3 linked regions of the Arabidopsis thaliana genome follow. The protein of the gene in region 1 interacts with the protein of each later gene in a pairwise test. Each region holds a gene or a part of one and is shown in the gene's direction. Other genes may lie near its edges.

Evidence for each region. Proteins that work in one complex are often made in the same cells at the same time.
Region 2: the proteins of AT3G46600 (region 1) and LEP interact in a two-hybrid assay, tested with the Arabidopsis thaliana proteins (one large-scale study listed by BioGRID).
Region 3: the proteins of AT3G46600 (region 1) and AT5G26630 interact in a two-hybrid assay, tested with the Arabidopsis thaliana proteins (one large-scale study listed by BioGRID).

What each region holds. Positions count from the first base shown.
Region 1 is NC_003074.8:17,154,779-17,163,409, forward strand, and holds AT3G46600 (GRAS family transcription factor), read left to right. Parts: upstream 1-3,145; 5' UTR 3,146-3,269; coding exon 3,270-5,021; 3' UTR 5,022-5,187; downstream 5,188-8,631. Other genes in the region: TRFL1 (TRF-like 1), read left to right, coding at 53-132, 216-412, 500-793, 861-924, 995-1,168; AT3G46610 (Pentatricopeptide repeat (PPR-like) superfamily protein), read right to left, coding at 5,446-7,443. UniProt on the Arabidopsis thaliana protein: Probable transcription factor involved in plant development.
Region 2 is NC_003076.8:4,479,595-4,487,298, reverse strand, and holds LEP (Integrase-type DNA-binding superfamily protein), read left to right. Parts: upstream 1-4,051; 5' UTR 4,052-4,213; coding exon 4,214-4,849; 3' UTR 4,850-5,171; downstream 5,172-7,704. Other genes in the region: AT5G13920 (GRF zinc finger / Zinc knuckle protein), read left to right, coding at 1-63, 155-316, 391-1,368; AT5G13900 (Bifunctional inhibitor/lipid-transfer protein/seed storage 2S albumin superfamily protein), read left to right, coding at 5,423-5,747, 5,823-5,953; AT5G13890 (plant viral-response family protein (DUF716)), read left to right, coding at 6,427-7,359. UniProt on the Arabidopsis thaliana protein: Cell division-promoting factor involved in leaf blade differentiation, inflorescence branching, as well as in carpel and silique shape. Promotes the number of xylem cells.
Region 3 is NC_003076.8:9,346,551-9,354,153, forward strand, and holds AT5G26630 (MADS-box transcription factor family protein), read left to right. Parts: upstream 1-4,261; 5' UTR 4,262-4,264; coding exon 4,265-4,921; 3' UTR 4,922-5,070; downstream 5,071-7,603. Other genes in the region: AT5G26640 (anaphase-promoting complex subunit 11 RING-H2 finger protein), read right to left, coding at 1,291-1,345, 1,491-1,624.

The sequences.
Region 1 (8,631 bases):
GTTCGCTTATTGTTTCGTTGAAATATTTTTGTTTTGTTTTGTTACTCTTTAGTGAAGCTGCGGATCAAGTCTTTTAGGGTGCCTGAGCTTTTCGTAGAGATTCCAGAAACTGCTACTGTTGGCTCCTTGAAGGTGTAATAACAAAACCTAGTTGTGCTGAAAATCCTGATCAAGAAGAACTTATATTTGTATTTTTGTAATGTCGGGGTTGTCAGCGGATGGTGATGGAAGCAGTGACCACCATACTGGGTGATGGACTTCGAGTCGGGCTGATGGTTCAAGGAAAGAAAGTCCGAGATGATGGCAAAACTCTTCTTCAGACTGGGATCTCTGAGGAGAACAACCACTTGGATTCTCTTGGTTTCAGCCTTGAACCTAGCTTAGAGACCACCCCTCAACCACTGTTATCCAGGTTCACTCTTCTCTTCACTCTCAGAGATGCCACATCGATAAAAAATCAATCTTTTGCGGCTTAAGGGCCTTGTTTTCTCTCTGCCAGTTATCTGTCAGATCATGCCTGTGATGATGTGACGTTATGCCACGACAATGCGTTGGATTCTAGTCATGAGCCAGAACCATCCCCAGCTGACTCATTTGGGAAACTAGGCACAAGTGATCATTCTAGAGCTTTGATTCCTGTTGCCTCAGCAGCAATGCTGGCTCCTCGGCCTCCTAACCGTAAGTTTAAAAGGACTGAGCAGCAGCTAGCTGCACAACGCAGAATTCGTCGACCTTTCTCAGTTACTGAAGTAGAAGCACTGGTCCAAGCCGTTGAGAAACTCGGAACCGGAAGGTACAAAACAAAGAAATAGCACTTTCTCTTCTTCATGTTGCTGACAAAATGTGTTTGAAAACTACAGGTGGAGAGATGTGAAGGTTCGTGCTTTCGAGGACGCAGACCATCGTACCTATGTTGATCTCAAGGTTAGTTAGTTTTTTAACTAACTCTTAACCTTAATATATACAGTTTGGTATTGAGTCTTTGCCTTTGTAGGATAAGTGGAAGACGCTGGTCCACACGGCAAGGATATCTCCACAACAGCGGAGAGGAGAGCCGGTGCCACAGGAACTTCTGGACCGTGTTTTGAAGGCACACGCTTACTGGTCACAACACCTAATGCATCAACTGCAGACTGAGCCACCATCCACTCAGGTAGAGGCTCTCTAATCTGAACAGGTTCTTGGTCTAAAGAACCTTTGTGTATTATTATGATGATCCATATTGTAAGATTCTGACATAGTTGAAGATCTGGTCTCAGTTCTTCTTTGTTTTTTTTTTTCTTTCTTTCAAATGTAAAGTTTTATAATTGGAAATAAGGTTGGGTTTTTTCTAACAATGTAAAGGATTTGTTGTAAATCTTTGGTGACATTTTTATTCTGTCTATATGATTTATGGCTCGGCCTATCATATCACAACGACAACGAACTGATATATATATACCTCATCCAAACTCTAGGAGTGCTGGAGAATTCAATTGTTGGATAAATTGTTACTCAAGCTGGTCTATGTTTGGTCAGTTTATGGTTCACATGTGTCCTATATTAGGAAAGAATACACAGAAGCTTGTGCTTGTGAGTGGTATGTGTGCTATGGTATTTACCTTAAATACGGGTCGTTCAGAGTAATAAGCTGGTCTCAAAGCCTCTTTTAAAGGCTATAGCCACAAACAAAGGCACAAAATCCTGGATCTCTAACCAGTAAAGAAGTCGATGTTGAACTAAAGTTCGCAAATATTTGCAGATAGCATTGAGTAGGCAAGCTCTTCCCACTTTTTTTTTTTTTTTTTTCACTGAACTGTTGCCTTTCATTGAATATTGGAGTTTGTGAAAAAATTTAAAGCAATTAGCAATAAAATCAAAAGGATATTGAAGTTTACATTTGGACCTGGACGAGATAATAGAGGATAACGTTCAATTTATTAGAAGTTATGATGACTGATATATTTACCGATTTAAAACTAATATATTTAGCAACTTGACGCAGCAAGAAAATTATGATTCTTAACTAATATACACCATATTATATATATTTAGAAGATTTAATTAATATTTAAAATTATGCTTTTTATTTGATTTTGTTTTAAATCGTCATATAATACATAAAATAAAATCAAAAAACAATTTTTTTTTATACATATATTGTGATTTTTAATTTTAAACACGGACACGTATTACCCAATTGACAAAATAATGTGTATGTTTAATGTTCCACATTGACTAAAATATTTAGACAATGATTCAGAATCATATCATATAATGAATATTTACAATAATAAAATAACTGGGTTTTTGTTGGAATGGGTTTTGCGGAACGGATTTTTGAATCTACATTAATAACAAATTAAAATATCATTAATCTGCCGTTTCAATACATATTAAATCTTTTTTTTAACACCACTAATATTATACATATCAAATCAGTCTGATTTAAAAAAATATATATAAAACCAAAATGTCTCATGGTATAATGTTACTATATAAAAATTGTAAATTATAAAATATTAATGTCTTAGAGAATTGTATAATTTTCAAACTTTTATATATAATAAATAATCATTAAATTTTAAAAATCACTACTTAAAAAAAAAAAAAAAATCAAGGGACAGGTTATACAATTAAGATTTACATCTTGTTTTTTTTTTGGAATTTTGGTGATGTGGTAACAGACTACTAAATAGTTTACGCGTATTATATGCAAAATAAATTATCAAACAAATATATTGTAGTAAATTATAAAATTTACTATATTATTATTTAAAAACTGAAATTTGCTTGTGTCTTGTAGAAAAAAAAACTGAACCAAAACAAACTTAATTTACTTCGAAGTTTTATATTTCGTTATACAAAAAGAAAAAGTCTAAATTTCTAAATACATTTAGAAAATATATTCAAGGTAATAACTAATAAGTCAAATATTTGACCAGACAAGTGACCAAAAGGAAGACAACAACAAGAAAACAAATAGCTTTTTAGCCATTTGGACCCACGACAGTAGATAAAGTCTTGGACATATTATTACTAACCTTTTGTGGCGGCTTAGTGTTTATCTTCAACCCCACACATTCTCTGTTTCCTCGAAACTTCATTTTTCTTCTTTGCCAAGACAAAGATTAAATAAGACAAATATCAACCCTATCCTTTGTTTATATCAACAACATCTCGCAACTTGTGTTCACATGAAACTTCTCACTACTCTCTTTCATTTCCTCTTTTCGTTGACTTACTAAAGTACTCTTGTTTCAATCTTCATTCTAGAGAGATTCTGTTTCATGGATGCTATTTTGCCAGTACCCGTTGATGGGTTCAGATTCGACACCGGTTCTGGATCTTGTTGCAAACCGAGGAACAATCTTGAATCTGGGACGACCAATCGTTTCACTTGTTTCAACGAATCTGAATCTCAGAGCAACCCTTCTCCGACCGAGTCTAAGGTATGTTCAGATTACCTTCCTGTCTTTAAGTACATCAATGACATGTTGATGGAAGAAGATCTTGAAGGTCAGTCTTGTATGTTGGAAGACAGTTTGGCTTTACAAGCCGCAGAGAGATCTTTCTTCGAAGTGCTTCAAGATCAAACTCCAATCTCGGGTGATCTAGAGGATGGTTCTCTTGGAAACTTCAGTTCTATAACGAGTTTGCATCAACCTGAAGTTTCAGAGGAGTCAACCAGAAGGTATCGACATAGGGATGATGATGAAGATGATGATCTTGAGAGTGGAAGGAAATCGAAGCTCCCTGCGATTTCTACGGTGGATGAGTTAGCAGAGAAGTTTGAGGAAGTGTTGTTGGTATGTCAAAAGAATGATCAGGGAGAAGCAACAGAGAAGAAAACAAGACACGTAAAAGGCTCATCGAATCGATACAAGCAGCAAAAGTCAGATCAGCCAGTAGATATGAGGAATCTTTTGATGCAATGCGCGCAAGCTGTGGCGAGTTTTGACCAGAGAAGAGCTTTTGAGAAACTGAAGGAGATAAGAGAACACTCTTCTCGCCACGGTGATGCGACTCAAAGACTTGGTTATCACTTTGCTGAGGCGCTTGAAGCTCGTATTACAGGAACCATGACTACACCAATATCTGCTACTTCTAGCAGAACATCAATGGTGGACATTTTGAAGGCGTACAAGGGATTTGTTCAGGCTTGCCCCACCTTAATAATGTGTTATTTCACTGCAAACAGAACAATCAATGAGCTTGCTTCCAAAGCAACCACACTTCACATCATTGATTTTGGGATTCTCTATGGATTTCAATGGCCTTGTCTGATACAAGCTTTGTCAAAACGTGACATCGGACCACCACTGCTCCGTGTGACTGGTATCGAGCTTCCTCAGTCAGGTTTCCGTCCATCAGAGCGGGTAGAAGAGACCGGGCGAAGACTAAAGAGGTTCTGTGACAAGTTCAATGTCCCGTTTGAGTACAGTTTCATAGCCAAGAATTGGGAGAACATAACTCTTGATGATCTGGTGATCAATAGTGGCGAGACAACAGTTGTCAACTGCATCCTCCGGCTACAATATACACCTGATGAAACCGTGTCCCTCAACTCACCGAGAGACACGGCTCTGAAACTATTCAGAGACATCAACCCTGACCTCTTTGTGTTTGCAGAGATTAACGGGACTTACAATTCACCCTTCTTCCTAACAAGGTTCAGAGAAGCTCTCTTCCATTGCTCGTCACTCTTTGACATGTATGAGACCACATTATCAGAAGACGACAATTGCAGGACACTGGTGGAGAGGGAACTAATCATAAGAGATGCAATGAGTGTGATAGCCTGTGAAGGGTCTGAGCGGTTTGCAAGGCCAGAGACCTACAAGCAATGGCAGGTTAGGATTCTAAGAGCAGGATTTAGACCAGCGAAACTAAGCAAACAGATAGTAAAGGACGGGAAAGAGATAGTGAAAGAACGTTACCACAAAGATTTTGTGATCGACAATGATAACCACTGGATGTTTCAGGGCTGGAAAGGAAGAGTCCTTTATGCTGTTTCTTGCTGGAAACCTGCTAAGAAGTAATAAAACAGTTCTGTAATCATTTGCATAATTTTGCTAGCTTTCCATTTCTTTGTTTTTGGTTTCAAAGTGTTGTAGAAACTGTTTGCTCTCATATATATTGAATGAGTCTCTCTCTTTCTCTCTACTTTCTTGCAAGTACATATGGCAAACCAAGAATTCAAAACTTATTTCAAAAAGATCCATAACTTTGAACTGAACAAACCAGTTTGCATATCAATGTGTCTGATGATAATACAGATGTTGTACGAAGATAAAAATTCACAATATAAACAGAGAGACTAGACAAACTAAAAAGAGTATTAAAGAACAAGAAAGTGATTACTTGGAAACTTTCTTCTTCCCTGTAATGGCAATTTTCTTGCCTTTAAGGGTCCTTGGATGCGCCTTACCCCACGGTAACCTTGTACAATGTGTTTTCGTCAGACTAAGGTCTATTCTTTTTGTCTGGTCGAGGACCCAAAAGATTAAGATCAATGGTGGCTCCATAAGTCTCAGCTGATTTAACAACCGCATCATATGGCTTAGAAGAGAGTTTAAGCCCTTCGTTTTGAGCCTTCACATGTAACTCATAAGCAAGCCTTGGCTTTGCATCATTTGCAAGAGCCTCAATCAACATCTCGTAAGTTATCTCGTTAGGCTCAACATTCTCACTTTTCATTCTATGAAACCACTCATAAGCCACACCACTTAACCCGTTCCTCGCGCAACCACTTATAACCGCGTTGAAAGTCACAACGCTCGGTTCAATACCCTTTGAAGCCATTTCCTTGAGAAGGGTATCCAAAAGATTGAACTTTTGCTGTCCTGTCAAAACTGAAGCCATTGTTGTGTACGCGTAAAGATTTGGCTCAATCCCTACCTTAATCATATGGTTCCAAACCCGAAACGCCTCATCATATAGCTTCCCTTTCTCAAGAGCACTGAGTAGTGCACCGTATGAGATGACCGTTGGCTTTTCACCATTGTCAACCATTGCTTTAAAGATTTGGATCGCAGCTGTGGTCTCAGAGGCTTTTGAACATGCTACAAGAACCGCGTTCCAATGTCTCCTCTGCGGTTTCAATCCTTTATCTTCCATTTTGTTAAGTAACCTAACTCCCCATCTCCATATCCCTCTCTTGCTAGCTGCACTCAGCAAGATATTGAAATGAGAGACCACTAACTCATAAGACAAATTGTTAGGTTCAGGTCCTTCGTCAAGAAGATCCTCGTAGATCTCCAACGCTGCCCACCATTTCTTAGCCTTACCCATCAGCCAAATCAAATGGTTGCAAACAGACAGACTTATCTCAGAAAACCTCTCTCTGATTCTTTTATACAACTCTTTACCAACAATATAATGCTCTTCACGAGTACATGCCCATATAAGCCTCTCGTGCTCTTCCCTACTCGGTCTAACCCCTGCACTGTCCATTGCATTCAAAAGCTTCAACACTCTAGTAGTCCAATTATCATCTTTCACCAACCACCGCCTCATCACTTGGTAGCATATTCTACCAATAAAGTTCTCAAGCTTAACAAACTCAAATTCCCAATCGTAACCAACATCATTCCCTATTTCCCTCTTTGCGTATTTCTCTCTCAATTCAACAAAGAACTCTAAAGCTCCCATACCGTCTTCCATTCTTCTGTAAACAAGCAAAGCCGTTGAATATGTAATCGGGTTAGGCTCAAAACCCTTTTCCTTGGTTAAATCAAGAATCCCAAGAGCCTTGAGAAACTCACCTTCCTCCATGTAAATAACCATCAAAGTATTGTAAGTAACAATGTTTGGAACAATCCCTTCTTCCTCCATATCTTTCAGTATCTTCTCTGCTTCCCCAAACCCTCTCATAGCACCCAAAAGGCTGTTATATATAAAAAGATTTGGACCTATGACACCGCCTGATTCACTCTTCTTCCTCTTAAGCCAATCTACTACAGCTACCGCAGGCTTCAATCTCTTGTCCTTGCCAAAACCCTTTATCATAGCACAAAAGACTTGCAGAGGCAACTCTCCCTTGTCCTTGAGAACAGCATCCACATCATCAGCTGTCTTAGCAGCTCGTAAACTAAACGCTAATTCTCTAACATCAACTCTTAAATTGTTCTTTTCTCCTCCATTTGCTGAACTTAAATCTTCCGTGGAAACTTCTTCTTCCCCGAGCTCGAGCTCTCGTTGCTCAGTGGCCCATCCTACCCCAAACGATGATCCCAACAAACTTCTCTTTGGCTCACACAAAAACAGAACTTTCCTGTTACTCGAAACGAAGATGAAGCTAGAGATACTACTACTACTACCGAAGCAAGCCTGTTCAAGAAAGCAAAGTCTCTTTCTAGTAGTCTTAGGGCTAACTACAAAACAAGAACAATCCAACTCAAATTCCAATCTTGATCCAACTAAAAGACCAGACTTTAATGGCAAAATGCTTAAAGCTTGCATCTTTTTCCAAACACAATCTCACAACTAGCGTTATGTAGCATGGAAGCGTCAAAAGACACACGATTTCACGCTTCAAAAGCGCAACGGAAGCACTCTCTTCCAATTTTGCAAAATCAGAAGCGCAAAGTTCTTTCAGAAACTGAAGCGTAAAGATCTCTTACAAATTAATATTGAACAAAAACGAAAATTGAGGAGGGCTTGAAAATAACTTCAATGGCGGATTCAGAGCCGCGAAGAAGAAGATAGAATTTTTGTCTTCTTTTCTTTATGTGAAAACTGAAAATAAAATACTATTGGGCTTATGGGCCTCAATTAAGCATGAGATTTAAAAAGCCTTTTCTACAAATTAAAAAATTGCTAAATTAATTGTTTTTTAGAAATGAAAAATGTAATTAAAATCCCCAACTTATTGAAAAAGTTGATTTGGATCTTTAACTCTCGATGAAACGAAATAAATATCAAACTTCTATTTTTCAAAAATAACAAACTTTCGTTGGTTAAATAGGTTAACATATCCCGTTAACGAAGTTAATTTTTTGTCAATATACATGTTAACTGAAAACGACATTGTTTTCTATAATAACAAAATGACGTCTTTTTGTCGTAACGGATGAACGAAATCCTTAAATTCAATCTTATATCTCTAAATCGAGCAAAATCCATGATCCTAAATTTTCATATAATTTGACACTCGGGATTTTATTGAACAATTACGACAAAACGATGTTGTTTATTGTGAGAGGAAATGCTATCGTTTTCAATTCACAGGTCTGTTAAAAGAAAATTAACTTTGTTAACATGCTCTGTTAACTTACTTAACATCATGTCTCAAATTTGAATAAACGTTGAGATATTAAAAAATCTTCAATAATATAGGAAAAGAAAACTATCTCTGGTCGTGCATCGTGTGCAAAGTAGTCCATTCTCTTTAGTTTTTCTTTTTGGGTTTTCCAATATATATCTTTAACTAAAACAGAAATTGTAATACTTTTCGTAAAACTAAGTTTTCATATAGTTGAATGGACAGTGATAGGTGTACTAAGATGAATGTGAGTAGTGGGAACTGAGAAGTCTTCATAGGCCATGTCTTGTAAGAACTCACATGCTCACATGTGGATATGAAATTGGTCCAAAGTGTTTTTTTTTTCTTTCATAAAACATTAAATGTTCTTTAGGTATTTGTCATTG
Region 2 (7,704 bases), on another chromosome or scaffold:
TGTGAAATCAAGGTCGCGAATACTCGAGAAAATCCCGGAAGGAAGTTCTACAAGTGTCCAACGGTTCGTACTCGCTTTCTTTACTGATTCTTCATCTCCTGCAAAATTCGCGAGGAAATTTGAATTTGTTACTGACGACATTTGAAATTCGCAGGCTCAGAATTGCTGTTTCTTCAAATGGTGTGACAAAGTAACCGACGAAGATATCAAATTCCGTCCTGCCTTCACCATCCCGATTTGTTCCTGCGGTGCTGGACCTTGCCGGAGAGTTAAAGACGTTTCCGGTAGAGCTTACCTGATATGCTGCATCAAAAAGGTTTTGACTCGTTCGCAAGTTTAAAGCTCATAGTTGATAATTCTGGTTAACATTGTTTTAAGAAATTGTGTTAGGGATTTGGAGCTTGTGGATTCTTCAAGTGGGAAGATGTTGAGATGATTCCTAGTTGTGATGTTATGGATGAGATTGATTTTTGGGTTGAAGCTGATCAAATTTTGAGTGATGTTGAGAGTAGCTTACAGGCTCGTGGTGGTGTTATACCGGAAATTGCAAACCAAATGGCATCAGAGAAAGAATGTCAAGCTTCTGTTAGTGGTATAGAGGATGATTGTGTAGTAGAATGTCAAGATTCTGTTAGTGCAGAGGATGATTCTACATTAGAAAATTTGGATTCCATTTCAATGTCTGTTTCTGATGTACACTCTACTGCTCTGAACCAAGGTACTTCACTTATGGACAATTTTGATTCTATTAAAGTATTATGCTTGGAATACACTTTTTTGTTCTTTGAACTCTTATGCTATTTACTAGGTATCTCTCTGTTTGATCCGGTTACGAGCGAACCTGAAGAGCCATGGAAAAAGACTCAGAATGGTGATCAGCCAACAAATAGTGCTCTTTCTAAGTTGAGTGTGGATGAAGCGATGAGTGATTTGATCAGAGATACGGTCTCTAGTGGTTCTGTTGTGATACATGGAAGGACAAACCATGAGCAACCTGAAATTGATGGAGCTGAGTGGTCATTCCCTTGCTTGCAGAACCTAATTGATCAGTACAACTCAGAGAAGCTTCAATTGGAGAGTATTTCAGGGAAACATGTACAAATGTTGAGTGAATTTATGGCTTCGTACAGGCGACTAAGGTTACTTCATGAGAAAACTAGTCATCTCAGGAAAACTTTACTTGAAACAGAGAAGGAGATGGTTTGTTGTGAAGCTGAGACATTAAAATTTGGAGCAAGTTGCAGGGAAGTGGCTGGAGAAATGGCTGAGTCTCAGAAGAGGATGCAGGAAACTGCAGATAAACTAGGAAAAGAAGTAGAAGTGTTTAAGCAAAATGAGTTTGTTGGTCTAAAGAGAAGAAGAACCTGAGCATTTGCATATTAGTGCCCTTGCAAGTGTTGGAAGGTAATTATCTTTTATTTTAACTCGGCAATTCCAACATTTTACACTTCTTCATCGGATAACGTGTATAGACTAGTTAGATTAATGGATTAATTGATAGGTGACTGCAAAGCTCGTGCCCCTAAATTTTCTCCCATGTCACCTTCAGGTTTAGATGAGCCAAAAGCAGACATACTTTGTTTTTAACTTTTGAATGTGGTTGAGAATTATGAATCTACTTAGTGCGCTCATCACATGGTCGTTTGATTAAAAGAGTAATTAGATTTAAGTAAGACAAAAGATGTTTGTGTTAGGCAATAATTAGAAAAAGGATTAATTATGTTAAGCGTCCAAGAAAATGCCTTTCCACGTTGGGCGCACATGCCTTCTCTTCTTTCTTCCCTTTTTTTTTCTTTCTAGTTTCTACTAAACTAACACAATTAGAGGCCCAAACCCTCAGATAATTGATCATCAAATTATTTGCATCAAGAATAGTTCGAGATGAGTTATAGAGAATTGCTAGTTTCGTCAATTTGAGACTCGGACCATAGAACAAAACATCCTTCCAATTTCCATAAAACTGATATAGTTAAGAATTGGGATATGCATGTGTTCACTTGTCAGCTTGTGTATATCTCCAGTTGTTCGAGGACGTTACATACAACGTTCGAGAATGGTATTGCAAATGCCGAAGTCACTTAAGAGTAGTGATGGTAGTGAAAAAGGCGGTGATCTGACTGGGAGGGCTTAATTAGGGCTCTTGACCTAAATCCTAATTAAGTAGGATTCGTATAAATATTTTGTCCATTGATACATTTTATATAGTTCTTACATGTACTAATATTCCACCGTAGACCATGAGAACGTAGTACTAATTAAGTAAAGAAACCTGTGGTCTGTGGATATCGGAGAATAATAAGAGGCGATAGAGAATAGAAGCGGAACGTAAATGTAAACAAGATTCAATGCATCAAGATTGGACTTTAGAATATAAAATTAAACGAGAAAAATGAGAGTTGGTCAAAAGTGAGGGAACATAAATTATAGGGCTTGTTTACTCCAATGAAATTAAGATTAAAGATAAAATTTCAAAAGCATAAAAGATTGCTCACATGCAACCCAAATTCCTTTGTTCTCAATAATGCATGTTTGTTTTAAAATAGTATATAGCAAATGAATATGAATGGAGTATTTTGGTCAGAATATATATAATTTGAGAAACTGAATTTAGGAAGAGACGATATCATATTCATAGCCAAGAGGACAAACACATAAATGATTAAATTATAAGGAAATAGATAGATGCCTTGGGATTAGAAAGTGGGAGATGAAAGAAAAAGGGTGTGGCAATATTCATTGAAGTTGCAGCCTATAAAATTGGGAGCACATGCACTACCCCTATATTGTTTTTGACTAATCTCTAATTAATTAACGCTAACACACATTGTGATTATTGTACATGTAGACAAATGGGACGTATATATTATAAAAGATTAAGAAATGATACGATCCACTATCACCGTCCATAACGTTGGTCGTGTAGCCAAACATAAACATAAATGGTCTTTGGTCTTCCTCTGACACAAAATAAGATCGTCTTAGAAAGGCTACCACTTGCTTCCTTAGATACTCATATCAAATATCATAATCTCTCTCTAATGCATGAGACTTCAACTCTTTTAATTTTGTGTTGGTCAAAAGTCAAAACCCTACTCTGACGTATTAGTAATACAAGATTAATACACATATAATGATATAATAGCTGCTTAAGTAATGACTTTCCTCCTCATAATTTAGTCGACTACCTTCCATCATGCGGCCATCATTGCACCCTTCTTTACCAATTATTAACTTTAACCAAAACACCAAACTCATTGTTTTTTTATGTGTTGTATGATTGATAAGACGGAAAGTGTTTGCGTTTTCATATATGCAATAATCAGGGTTTGCTTCTCTTTTTCATGTTAAATTCGCAGTTCATGCACATTCCATCATTCAATATGGACCATCACATGCAGTAGTATTTGGACGCGTTATACCAAATATATTCTCTGAATTGAATAGTTTATCTATTACGTTATCTCTCGTTAATTTGTTAATCAATTCGGACATGTTATTATTATTAGACTCGGGACACTGGTATCTAAGGTAACATGCTAATCATGGCTCTTATCATTCCTAATCCCTTTGTTTCAGCTTATTATTGTTGATGAATGATGATTATGTGTATCTATCGATATTTATATATAATATGCTAACGGATTGTATTTGTTTAAGTTATTTTTGATAATGATCCTAATTTCTTTGTTATTCTTTCACTCTCTTCTCTAATATATACATCACCTAACAAAAAGAAGCTCTTATGTATTACTATTGTAATTGATTGAGTTGATATATTAGCACTTGTATGATTAAAGGCAGTCGGAACTCAGCATTATATTTTAGCAGAATTAACCATGTATAAAAATGAAATCACTAGTGTAGAACAACCTTGAGAAATGCATGAAACATGCTATCAAGTGGTAACTTAATCATAATTATATACTTTTGATTGACTGATAATTGATATATCATGGGCCACAATTAACTCAACACAGAGCCATTTTTAAATGTTGTTTCAATTGGAATAAAAAGATATATAAAAGAATTATACACAATGAAAAAAGAGAGAGAAAAAGGAAAGGTATAGCTCTTATATAAAAGGGTTGTGGTAAGGGATACTTTTCCAAGACCAACACACATTCCCTCTCTTCCTTCAACTAGAAAAAAGATAGATATATCGGACATTTATTGATCTGTGTATGCATAAAGGTATAGTATCATTATTAGAAAGATGAACACAACATCATCAAAGAGCAAGAAGAAGCAAGACGATCAGGTTGGTACAAGGTTTCTTGGGGTGAGAAGAAGGCCTTGGGGAAGATACGCAGCTGAGATTAGAGACCCAACTACGAAGGAGCGTCACTGGCTTGGCACTTTCGATACGGCGGAAGAAGCTGCCTTGGCCTACGATAGAGCTGCTCGGTCCATGCGTGGCACACGTGCCAGAACCAACTTTGTTTACTCAGACATGCCTCCTTCCTCATCCGTCACCTCCATTGTTTCTCCTGACGATCCTCCTCCTCCTCCACCTCCTCCTGCTCCTCCTAGCAATGATCCTGTCGATTACATGATGATGTTTAACCAATACTCATCCACTGACTCGCCAATGCTTCAGCCTCATTGTGATCAAGTGGACAGTTACATGTTTGGTGGCTCTCAATCTTCGAATTCTTATTGCTATTCTAATGACAGTAGTAATGAGCTGCCTCCTCTCCCGAGCGACTTGTCGAATTCGTGTTATAGCCAACCACAGTGGACCTGGACCGGTGACGACTACTCGTCTGAGTACGTACATAGTCCAATGTTCAGCAGAATGCCTCCGGTTTCTGACTCTTTCCCTCAAGGTTTCAACTACTTTGGCTCCTAATTCTTTCTCATCGTCCATATTTAATACCTTCCTCATTTGTACCTTTTCCTTCTTCTTCTTTTTTGGGTTTATCTATGTTTCGCCGTCCTTGATCTCTGCCTATGTGATCAAAGTGACTGTTTGTCATTAGTTTTTCAATAACAAGTTATCATTTGTATCTTGATTAATGAAAACAAGAAACTGCTCTTGTGTTACTTTCAAATACATATTTAATATATATGGGCCTTGGACATCAAAAGCCCATTATTCGATGGGTTATTAGTTGGCATGACATACTTTGTATAGCCCAAACCTCTGTGTGTTTTTCTTATGGTTGAACGAGAACTATATTCTAGGATGGAATAACAATTTGTTATTCTACTTCTGTGGTTTTGGTATTTGCTTACGTAATGTAAAATTATTTCATATTTGATGGGTTCTTCTGGTAACTTACCTGTTGAGGATGGTCAAACGGTGGTAGTAGGTTTGACTGGTGAACCATGTCTACCTATCTTAAAAGCTGGTCACCAAACATAAAAATTAAACAAGTACAAAAGTGTTTTAGTAACACTCAAAATAGTAAACTAAGGTGATATGATGATGGGGATGAAGTTTTTCTCTTTTTACGTTGTACTTCTTCTAGTTGCAGCTAGCTCGGGGATGCGGATAAATGGGCAGAGCGTTTCGTGTCTAAACCAACTTGCTCCATGCCTAAATTACCTGAATGGGACCAAGGAAGTACCTCAAGTTTGTTGTAATCCTCTCAAATCAGTGATAAGGAACAATCCAGAGTGCTTGTGCCGTATGATTAGTAACCGTTGGAGTTCTCAAGCCGAGCGAGCTGGCATCGATGTCAATGATGCTCAAATGTTGCCTGCTCGATGTGGAGAACATGTCAATCCCATTGCTTGCTTGACTCGTACACACTCAAACCTTAGTTCTTTCTTTTTTTTTCAATCAAAAGATGTTTCATGAATATTTTGTGTTCTTGCAGGTTCTAGAGGAGGATCTACAAACTCAGACCGAAGTTCCTCCATTGGCAACACCTTTTCTCAGTCCTATTGGATGACAACATTAGCTATTGCAGCCACTGTTTTGTCATATTGCCATCACATAATTAGCTGAATCTCTCATTGTCTATAGCAGCTTTGCTTTGCTTTGCTTAATTAAGACGGTTGATTCTTTGTTTTTTTAATGCTCTATTAGTTAATTATGATTATTGGTCGTCACCAACACATTGTATGTACCACTTCGTCCCCATAAATAGTCTAAATCCATTTCTATTAGTTAAGAATGTGAAACATCATGCTCATGTAGTCATGTTGCAACAAATCAAGCACCAATCAATCTCTTCCTGACAAATACAATATTGAATTACCAACTACCGGGAAAATCCATTATAAAACCGGTTTAAATAGTGCAATTAATTGTCAAATAACCGAAAAAGTCAGCTGGTTTAACAATACTAACCGGTCAACTTAAAGGAGCAGTTGACCAGATCGTCCTCTCTATTACCTCTCTTAAGCAGATCGGAGAAAGTTTATCAGTCATACAAATCCCGACCAACAACAACAAAACCCTAAAATCAAGCTTCGAAAATGGGAGAGATGATGTACAAGCTCTTCGCTTCAGCGTCACTACTAACCCTAGGATTGTATCATCTCATCTGCACTTTCTTCCATCTCCTTAAATCTCCCCAATCCTACGCCGCGAAACCCTTTTACCCTTTTCCACGTCTCTCCTCCGTCACCGGAAACAACCACCACAATCACAACCGCCTCCAAAATCTACCACTGTTCATCCTCATACTCTCTCTATTCGTCGCTTTCCTTCACGAAACCCTAATCTCCTTCTACTCCGATCCTCTCGTCAAAGGAAGTACTCCTGTTCACCGATTCTCATCTCTCAATTCCGCCGCCGTGTTCTTCCTCTTCCTCATCATCGCCATTTACTATCTCCTCTCCGATTCAACCTCGTTAATCCCTCTCCCTTCCGATCTCCTCTTCGCACTCGCCTCCGTTGGTTTCTTCCTCCATTACTCCGCCGCGTCTTCATCAGCTGCAATTCAAACATCTGATCTTCAAGCTCATTGTGATTCCCTCTCTGCTCGTATCTCCGCGTTATGCTCTCTCCTCTGTTTGCTTCTCGCTTGCCGTTCAAGACTCTTTATTGCTGACGCTGCTCTCGCTGCTGCCATTTGTCTTCAAGGTCTCTGGCAGCTTCAGACTGGACTCTCTCTCTACGTTGATGGGTTTATTCCTGAGGGATGTCATCGTCTTCTTGATGTTCAAAGCGGTGTTGAAGGATCAACCCAATGTGATATTCAGGACTCTAAGCTAAGAGCTGTTTCTATATTGGATCTAATGTTCACTGTACACGTCGTGCTTGTGGTTATCCTCATCTTTGTGACTTACACGATGGTGGTGATGGCGGCCGGAGTGAGAAGAACTGGTTCTTATGAAGCTTTGCCGACTAACAATGCTGATTCTAATCACATTCAGATGAAGTCGTTGACAGGCACTCAGGCTTGAAACCTTATCAAATCCTATCGCTTTGCCTTTTTTGTAAGCTCTCAGTCACTCTTTTGGAACTTGTTGCTGCTTTGACAAGTCTTTATCCCATTTTGTTTGTTCAATATATAATGTTCAATCCTCGTATAGATGAAAGATGGTGATGACTTGCTTAATAGAAGAATGATGGTATAGTCCTTGTTGATTGAGAATAGCATGGTTAATTGTCACTTTAGCTGATGTTTATGTTCCATTTGGTTTCTGGAAATGTTGTTTCCATCATGTTACATTTATAAGTTTGTCTTGGTTATCACAAACTCAGCCTGCCCTGTGGTGGTGAAAGACAAAGATGATGATATGGATGAA
Region 3 (7,603 bases), on another chromosome or scaffold:
AAATCCACGATCAGCGCAGCTCCGCCGCCAGACTTCAGATCCACCACCGCTCCTCTTCTACAGCGCTGCCCGTTGCTAAAGTCGAGAGAACCCCATCGAATCCATCTTGAAGTAGATCGAGAAAAAACAAATCTTCATAATCTCAATCTGCTCCTATAGTAGGAAGCTTCGCCTTTGGCCGTAATAGGCCTATATCCATGGATAAACATGTGGAGATATTACTCTCGTATATATATAAGAAGAGTTGAGCTGACGGTGAACAAAGAGGATCTAACCAATAGCTGCGGCGATTTGAGTTTATGTATGTAGAAAGAAGAGAACAAAACAGATCCGATCTTAGTTGGAATTTTATTGTCCGAAACAAATACAGAGATGAACAACAACAAGTCACTAAACCTAAGCTATAGATCTAAGATATGATTTGGAAGAGACAAAACAAAGAAATCTATTTTACAATCTGATCAATGTCATAAAAAGAAGCTTTCCCTCTCTAAAAGATATGGCAGAGGTAAGGGAGAGGAGCGTGATTTAAGTACTCATTAAAAAACTCGGTGAGTGGGCTAATCGATCCTACACTCACCCTAAAGAGATTAGCCAAGTGATTAAGGCCCAAAACACCTCATAATATCCAAAAATAATAATTTGGTAAAGTTAACTATCACACCTTTCCTCTGACCACTTGGGCCGAAACTCAAATGGCTACGTTAAATTAAGAACTAATTATATAAATTTGGTACAACTCAAGATTTTATTTTTACAGTATGTAAACTCTAAGCATGCGGCACTTGGTTATTTGGGTGTAGTAATAATTATATAAATTAATACTCGATAGATTAAAATCTTTGATCCCTAATAAGTGTTTAAGATCATTTAATTAATAAATTAATAACTGTATAAATATTGAAATATCATAATTTCGATATTATTAATTTATAGAGGTTAAGCTTTATTAATTTCTAATTTTTTACTGTTATAGATTCACTAATTTTTCTTAAAAGGAGCATGTATATTCTCAAAATTAGTCGGATGTTAAAACGAAAAAAATTGAAATTGGGTGCTAAATATTAAAAAGAACAATATATCCATGAAACAAATTATCTTTCTTTTCTTTAGCCACATGTCATGAACCAAAATCTCTATTACATTTTTGTTGCTATTTGTAGTTGCTTCCATTAATATTCATACAAAGGTCGAACTTAACTCTGATTAATGATTTATTACATCTCTATAAAGTGGATACAAAGCTAGATGTCTAATCAAGGCGCAATATAAAATCTCTCTCTTCCCACTCTAGTTACTCTTTATATTTCCATCTTCTACGACACATAGGGCAATGGCCATAGCTCTGATACCATGTAATTGTATGAATCTCCGTGAATGGAAAGTTATGTATTGAACATATATATATAGGGTTACATGAGATAAGCATAAATCTGTTCATAAGATATTAGATATATACAAATATAAGATTCTCATATATCTAATCTAACAGGCAATAATCCCCGAGGAGTTTACTTAGAGGGCAATCATCCTCAGGGAGTTTGCAGTCAGGACAAGAAGCATCAAATGGCATCCGACATAACCCACATGTCTCATCTTGAGCATCCCATGTACCCCATGCCATCTAAAGTTTCTCACAATGTAATAGTTTTGGTGTATGAACCGTAAGAGAATCCAACAAAGGATTATTGAAATAGAAAATAGTCAAAATGCTATAATTTGAAATAGTTCATTAGAGCTTTATTGTGCAAAAATATAAAAAGAGGGAAAATAACTTAGATTGTCACCAAAACAAAGAGATTGTGGTTAATATTTCATAAAATGGATGAACGAGAGTTGTTTACATCTTTTAGACACATAACAATCCTATTTATATCACTTTCCAAAGAAACCCTAACACACATAGGCTTACAATAACACACATTAGATTTGTTTTGGATTTGTGTTTAGCTTTTAATTCCCTTGAATGGTCTTACATAAATTAAAATTGCATGTAATACTGAGAGTCAATGAATTTACTCTGTTTTTGAGTTTGAAAACATTGTAACACTGAGAGTCCATGAAAAACCTGTGTTTGAAAAAACAAATACTAATTGCAGGCGCATTGATCAACTGATCTTATTCTGCCCTATATGAATCAGTTGAGAGTTGATAAGAAGAATCCTCATAAGAAACTACTAGAAAGTCATCAACATCACTAACCAAAATACTCTTGGGCTTTCCAAGTCCAATCTAACTTCCACATTAATATGATATTGTCCGTTTTGGGCTAAGTGGCTAAACCCTCACAATTTGTTTATTGGGCTCCTAAGGTTGAATAGTGGAATATAGATTTAAACAACTTCTTCAACAGGTTCAAGAAGATTTCTTTTAAAGTTTTAGATCTAAACAAATATGTGGAGACAACAAACAAAAATCCAACGTACTCGGAATAATCTGAAATTTGATAGCATGTTCGGGAGACGAGAACTAAGGGATCAAATTTTGGTTCAGATGGTGAAATGAACTAAGTCGTTTTAGGAGTTAATTCGTAAGCTTATTGAACTATGTTTGGTTAAAGTTACTAAGTTTAAATTTCTCGTTCTGTTTTTTAACCACATAATAACGAATATTTTACATAGAATAATATAGAGAGAGGATGAGGAAGAAAGTGAGAAAATAACGAGGAAGATGAAGATGAAGACTATAACGAAGAAGTGAACGAGAAAGTAATGATGACAACGGCTAAAAGAAAATTAATAATTAAGATGACAAGAATGAATATGAAAAGTAAGAAACAACGAATGTGAAGAGAAATACAAAGACATATGTGTTGACATTCAATTGAATATGAAAAAATAAAATTGATTTATGATTCTTTCAAATAAATTCGATTCTTAAACACTACTGATTTTTATAATTTTAATATAGTGTATTTGAAATAAAATTGAATTTTTACTTCGATTTAAAAAATATAATTAATTGTATGTATTTCTTACCGAAATATATCAAAAATACACACGTATAGCGTGGGTACAAAACCTAGTTACAAATACAAAGATTAAATATGTGGGCGAATCTAATTATTTTGAATGGTTTATAAATGCTAGTTCAAATCCACATGTTAGATTTTGAAAATTTCATGGCATTTTAAATTTTATATAGATTTCAAAATCTTTGGCAAAAGGTAATAATATAGATTTCCAAATTAATTAACATACACAAACTAATACTCCCTCTGTTTTGAAATAGTTTTCGTTTATGGTGTTTTTACAGAAATTAAAAAATCAATTTTTTTTTATTTTACCCTTGTTTAATATTTTTTTTATTGGTAATGACATAAAAACAATAAGAATATAATTGGAATTTTTACCAAACATCTACATTAAAAATCTAAACCGATAAATATTATCAAACAAAATTTTAATGCTAGAACGAAACCTAAACTAATACGGAAGGAGTAATATCCTCTTAAGAATGTTTTTTTTTTAAATTACTTCCGTAGTTACCCTTTAAAAACATTTTTTTAATTGATTCTTGACCTTTTTTGTTATACTTTGTTTGCAAAAAAAACTTAAAAAATCTTTATGAAAATGATTTTTCAGTCAAGATTACCCACCACAATATAAAGTAAAATCATCTAGATATATATTCTATGTATGTTCAAACTATGTAATATTTATCTTTATTATATGTAGATATGTTTTCCATACATATAACATTTCAGAAAAAATAATGATAAAAATATTTGTAAAGTAAATGTTTTCCACATAAGATATGTTTGGATAATTATTAGTAATAACAATTATTTTAAAAAATATTTTATGAACCAGATAAAGAATAGTCGTTCGGTCAACTGGTCATGGATAAAAACTATTTTAAAAACTCAGCACTATAAGACTATAAGTCTATAAGTCTTTTTGAACAAGTGTCAGTTCTTGTTATGCAAAATTTTGGTATTAAGAAGTAACTATACCCAAAAGTTAACAAGGACAATTATTCAGTTAAAGTGTAACTATACTTTTCACAAACAAACTAAAAAACTTGTAACTAGATTAGTAGACTCCTTAATTCCTAAGTAAAAAATAAAAAATTGAAAAAAAAATTTACTTCTAAACATATATATATTTCTTTCCATTATCGTATTACCAATTTTGATATCCCTAAAAAGGTATGATATATATATGGTTGAACTGAGATAAATTTTGCTTAATTCCAACAATCAGATCTTCTATATAAAAAGCACTTCTCCATTCAAAAGTATAACACACAAAAAAATAAAGTCATGACGAGACAGAAAGTGAAAATGACTTTCATAGAAAATGAAACAGCAAGAAAATCAACATTCAAGAAAAGAAAGAAAGGTCTTTTGAAGAAAGCTCAAGAGTTGGGAATTCTTTGTGGCGTCCCGATCTTTGCTGTCGTCAACAGTCCGTACGAGCTGAACCCGGAGGTGTGGCCATCGAGAGAGGCTGCGAACCAGGTGGTGTCCCAATGGAAGACGATGTCGGTGATGGACAAGACCAAGAAGATGGTGAACCAAGAGACCTTTCTCCAACAGAGGATCACCAAAGCAACCGAGTCTTGGAAGAAGTTGCGGAAAGAGAACAAAGAGTTGGAGATGAAGAACATTATGTTTGATTGTCTTAGTGGCAAAACTTTGGTTTCTAGTATCGAAAAAACTGAGCTTCGAGATTTTGGTTATGTCATTGAACAACAACTCAAAGATGTTAATCGTAGGATCGAGATTCTGAAAAGGAACAATGAACCATCTTCCGCCCTCGTTCCTGTTGCTGCCCCTACAACATCTAGTGTCATGCCTGTGGTTGAGATGGGTTCTTCTTCGGTTGGATTTTACGACAAGGTTCGAGATCAAATTCAAATTACTTTGAATATGAAACAGACCACAAATGATTTGGATCTGAACAAGAAACAGTGGTGAGCCATCGTTGATCTTATTTTAAGTTGTTGTCATTTCAACTATCAATAAAAAGTTATTGTTTTAGTTCTGTTTGTTTAAGTTACATGTTTGGGTTGGTTTCACATGTAGTTGTATTTTCTCATGAATGAAATTTATTTTTCTTTCGTTAATTAATGTTTTCTCCTTATATATAATCGTTATGAATAAATGCATGCATCATATCAGTTCTTAAAACATGTTTTCTATACAGTAATGGCACAAGAATTGCATTCTCTGAACATAAACACAAATGGAAACCAAGCCATTGTGTCCAGTCTCAAATATTTGTAATTTAGATCCATCACTTTTCGACAACCAAGCTCGTTCAAGATTTAAGAGGTTTAATTCTGTATAAAAGGTCGTGATTTAAGACTTAACACTCCATTAAGTTTGAATAACATTGAACTAATTGAGGTCAAGTAAACCTAAATAAGAATTTATTCGCCAAAAACAATATGTTGATAACTAGGTTTGGCAATAAAATATTCAGATTTTAAATTAGGATTTTTACTAGCCAAATTGCGTAAGTTGAGATTTTTATTGGGCAGAATACGTATAATTGATTTTGCCAAATGAGGGCCAACATTGATAAACTTAACACTCCATTAAGTTTGAATAACATTGAACAAATTGGGGTAAAGTAAACCTAAATAAGAATTTATTCGCCAAAAAAAATAAGTTGATAACTATTTCTGGCAGTAAAAATATTGAGATTTTGTATTGGCCAAATTGCGTAAGTTAGGATTTTTACATGCCAAATTCCGTAAGTTGGGATTTTGATAGGCTAGAATGCGTATAATTGATTTTGCCAAATTAGGGCCAACAGTAATCAAACTTAACACTACATTAAGTTTGACTAACATTGAACAAATTGGGATAAAATAAACCTAAATAAGAATTTATTCGCTAAAACAAATAAGTTGATAACTATTTTTAGCAGTAAAAATATTGAGATTTTGTATTAGCCAAATTGCGTAAGTTAGAATTCTTACAGGCCAAATTGCGTAAGTTGGACCGCCAAATTGTGTAAGTTGGACCGGCCAAATTGCGTAAGTTGGGATTTTGATAGACAAAATGCATATAATTGATTTTGCCAAATTAGAGCCAACATAATCAAACTTAACACCCCATAAAGTTTGAATAACATTGAACTAAATGAGGTAAAGTAAACCTAAATAAAAATTTATTTCCCAAAACAAATAAGTTGATAACTATTTTTTGCAATAAAAATATTCAAATTTTGTTTTCGCCAAATTGCGTAAGTTAAGATTTTTACTGACCAAATTGTGTAAGTTGTGATTATTATGGGTCAAAATGTGTATGTTGAGATTTTTTTTACCTTTTCTCATTTGACGAAGGTAATATAGTTAGTTGCTACAAAAATAGTTTTATTTTTAAAGTTATAATAGGGACAACTGTATTCTAAAATATAAAGTTTAATGAGTAATAGCCAAAGGTTTGCATAACCAAAATAGAATCTTGGTTTGAGTGGGTAATTATATTTTTTATAAAAAATTTTTTACTAGACTCCATAATTGCTATCTAAAAAATGATAATCATAGTCGAATCACGAATGGTAAACCTACTTTGTCAAAATAGTATACTCTCTTTGTTTCATATTAAAGGATGTTTTACATATTTTATTTAGGTTCACAATATAAGATGTTTTAGAAAATATATGTATAAGCATTTTAAAAAGTGACCAACTTATTCATTTTGACCAACTAAATCATCATTTTTAATTGATTTTTCTGAATTAGAGACAACGGTTTAAGTTTAAATTAAATTGAACTAATTCAGGTCAAGTAAACCTAAATAAGAATTTACTCGCCAAAACGCGTAAGTAGAGAGTTTTTTTACTCTTCCCATTTAACTAAGGATAATATAGTTAGTTTATATAAACATAATTTTATTTTGTAAGGGTAAACTATATTTTTACAAAATATAAAGTTTAATCACTAAAATATACCCAAAGTTTTGTGTAACAAAAGTAATTATAGTTTGATTGGGTCTATAACTCTTATAAATAAAAGGCTAGACTCATTAAGTGCTATCTTTCTTTTTGGAAAAATTAAAATTAAATATATATAAATATTTTAAAAGTCGTCAACTAATTCGTTTTGAATCACTTATCATCTTTTTTAAATTAATTTTTCCGAATTGAACTAACGGTTATCAAACTAAACACTCCATTAAATTTGAATAACATTGAGCTAATTGAGGTCAACTAAACATAAATAATAACTTATTTACAAGAAACAATATGTCAAAGAAACAAAGTTCATCACCTTACTTGTTTTGACTAAATAAGTCATCAATTTGGTATTGTAAGGAAAGATTAGAGCCAAAGGTACTTTAATCTTAACACTCCTTTGGATTTGAATAATACTGAAACTATTTCTACCACGTGATTATGTATTTTTACTTGATATATAAGAAATCAATAATTTTGTTTCTTATTCTTTCTACGTTGAAGAACATTGACGTACGGTGATGCCGTATTGATGAACACCTCCAGTGATTACTTATGGTGGTGGTGATGAAACTACTCTAACGTGGAGATGATGAAGATGAATCCGACGTGATATGATGCTGATCTGGCGATGACGAATTCAAATCCGATTGTTAACCACACAAGTTTTTTTATGAACAAGAAGTTTGAAG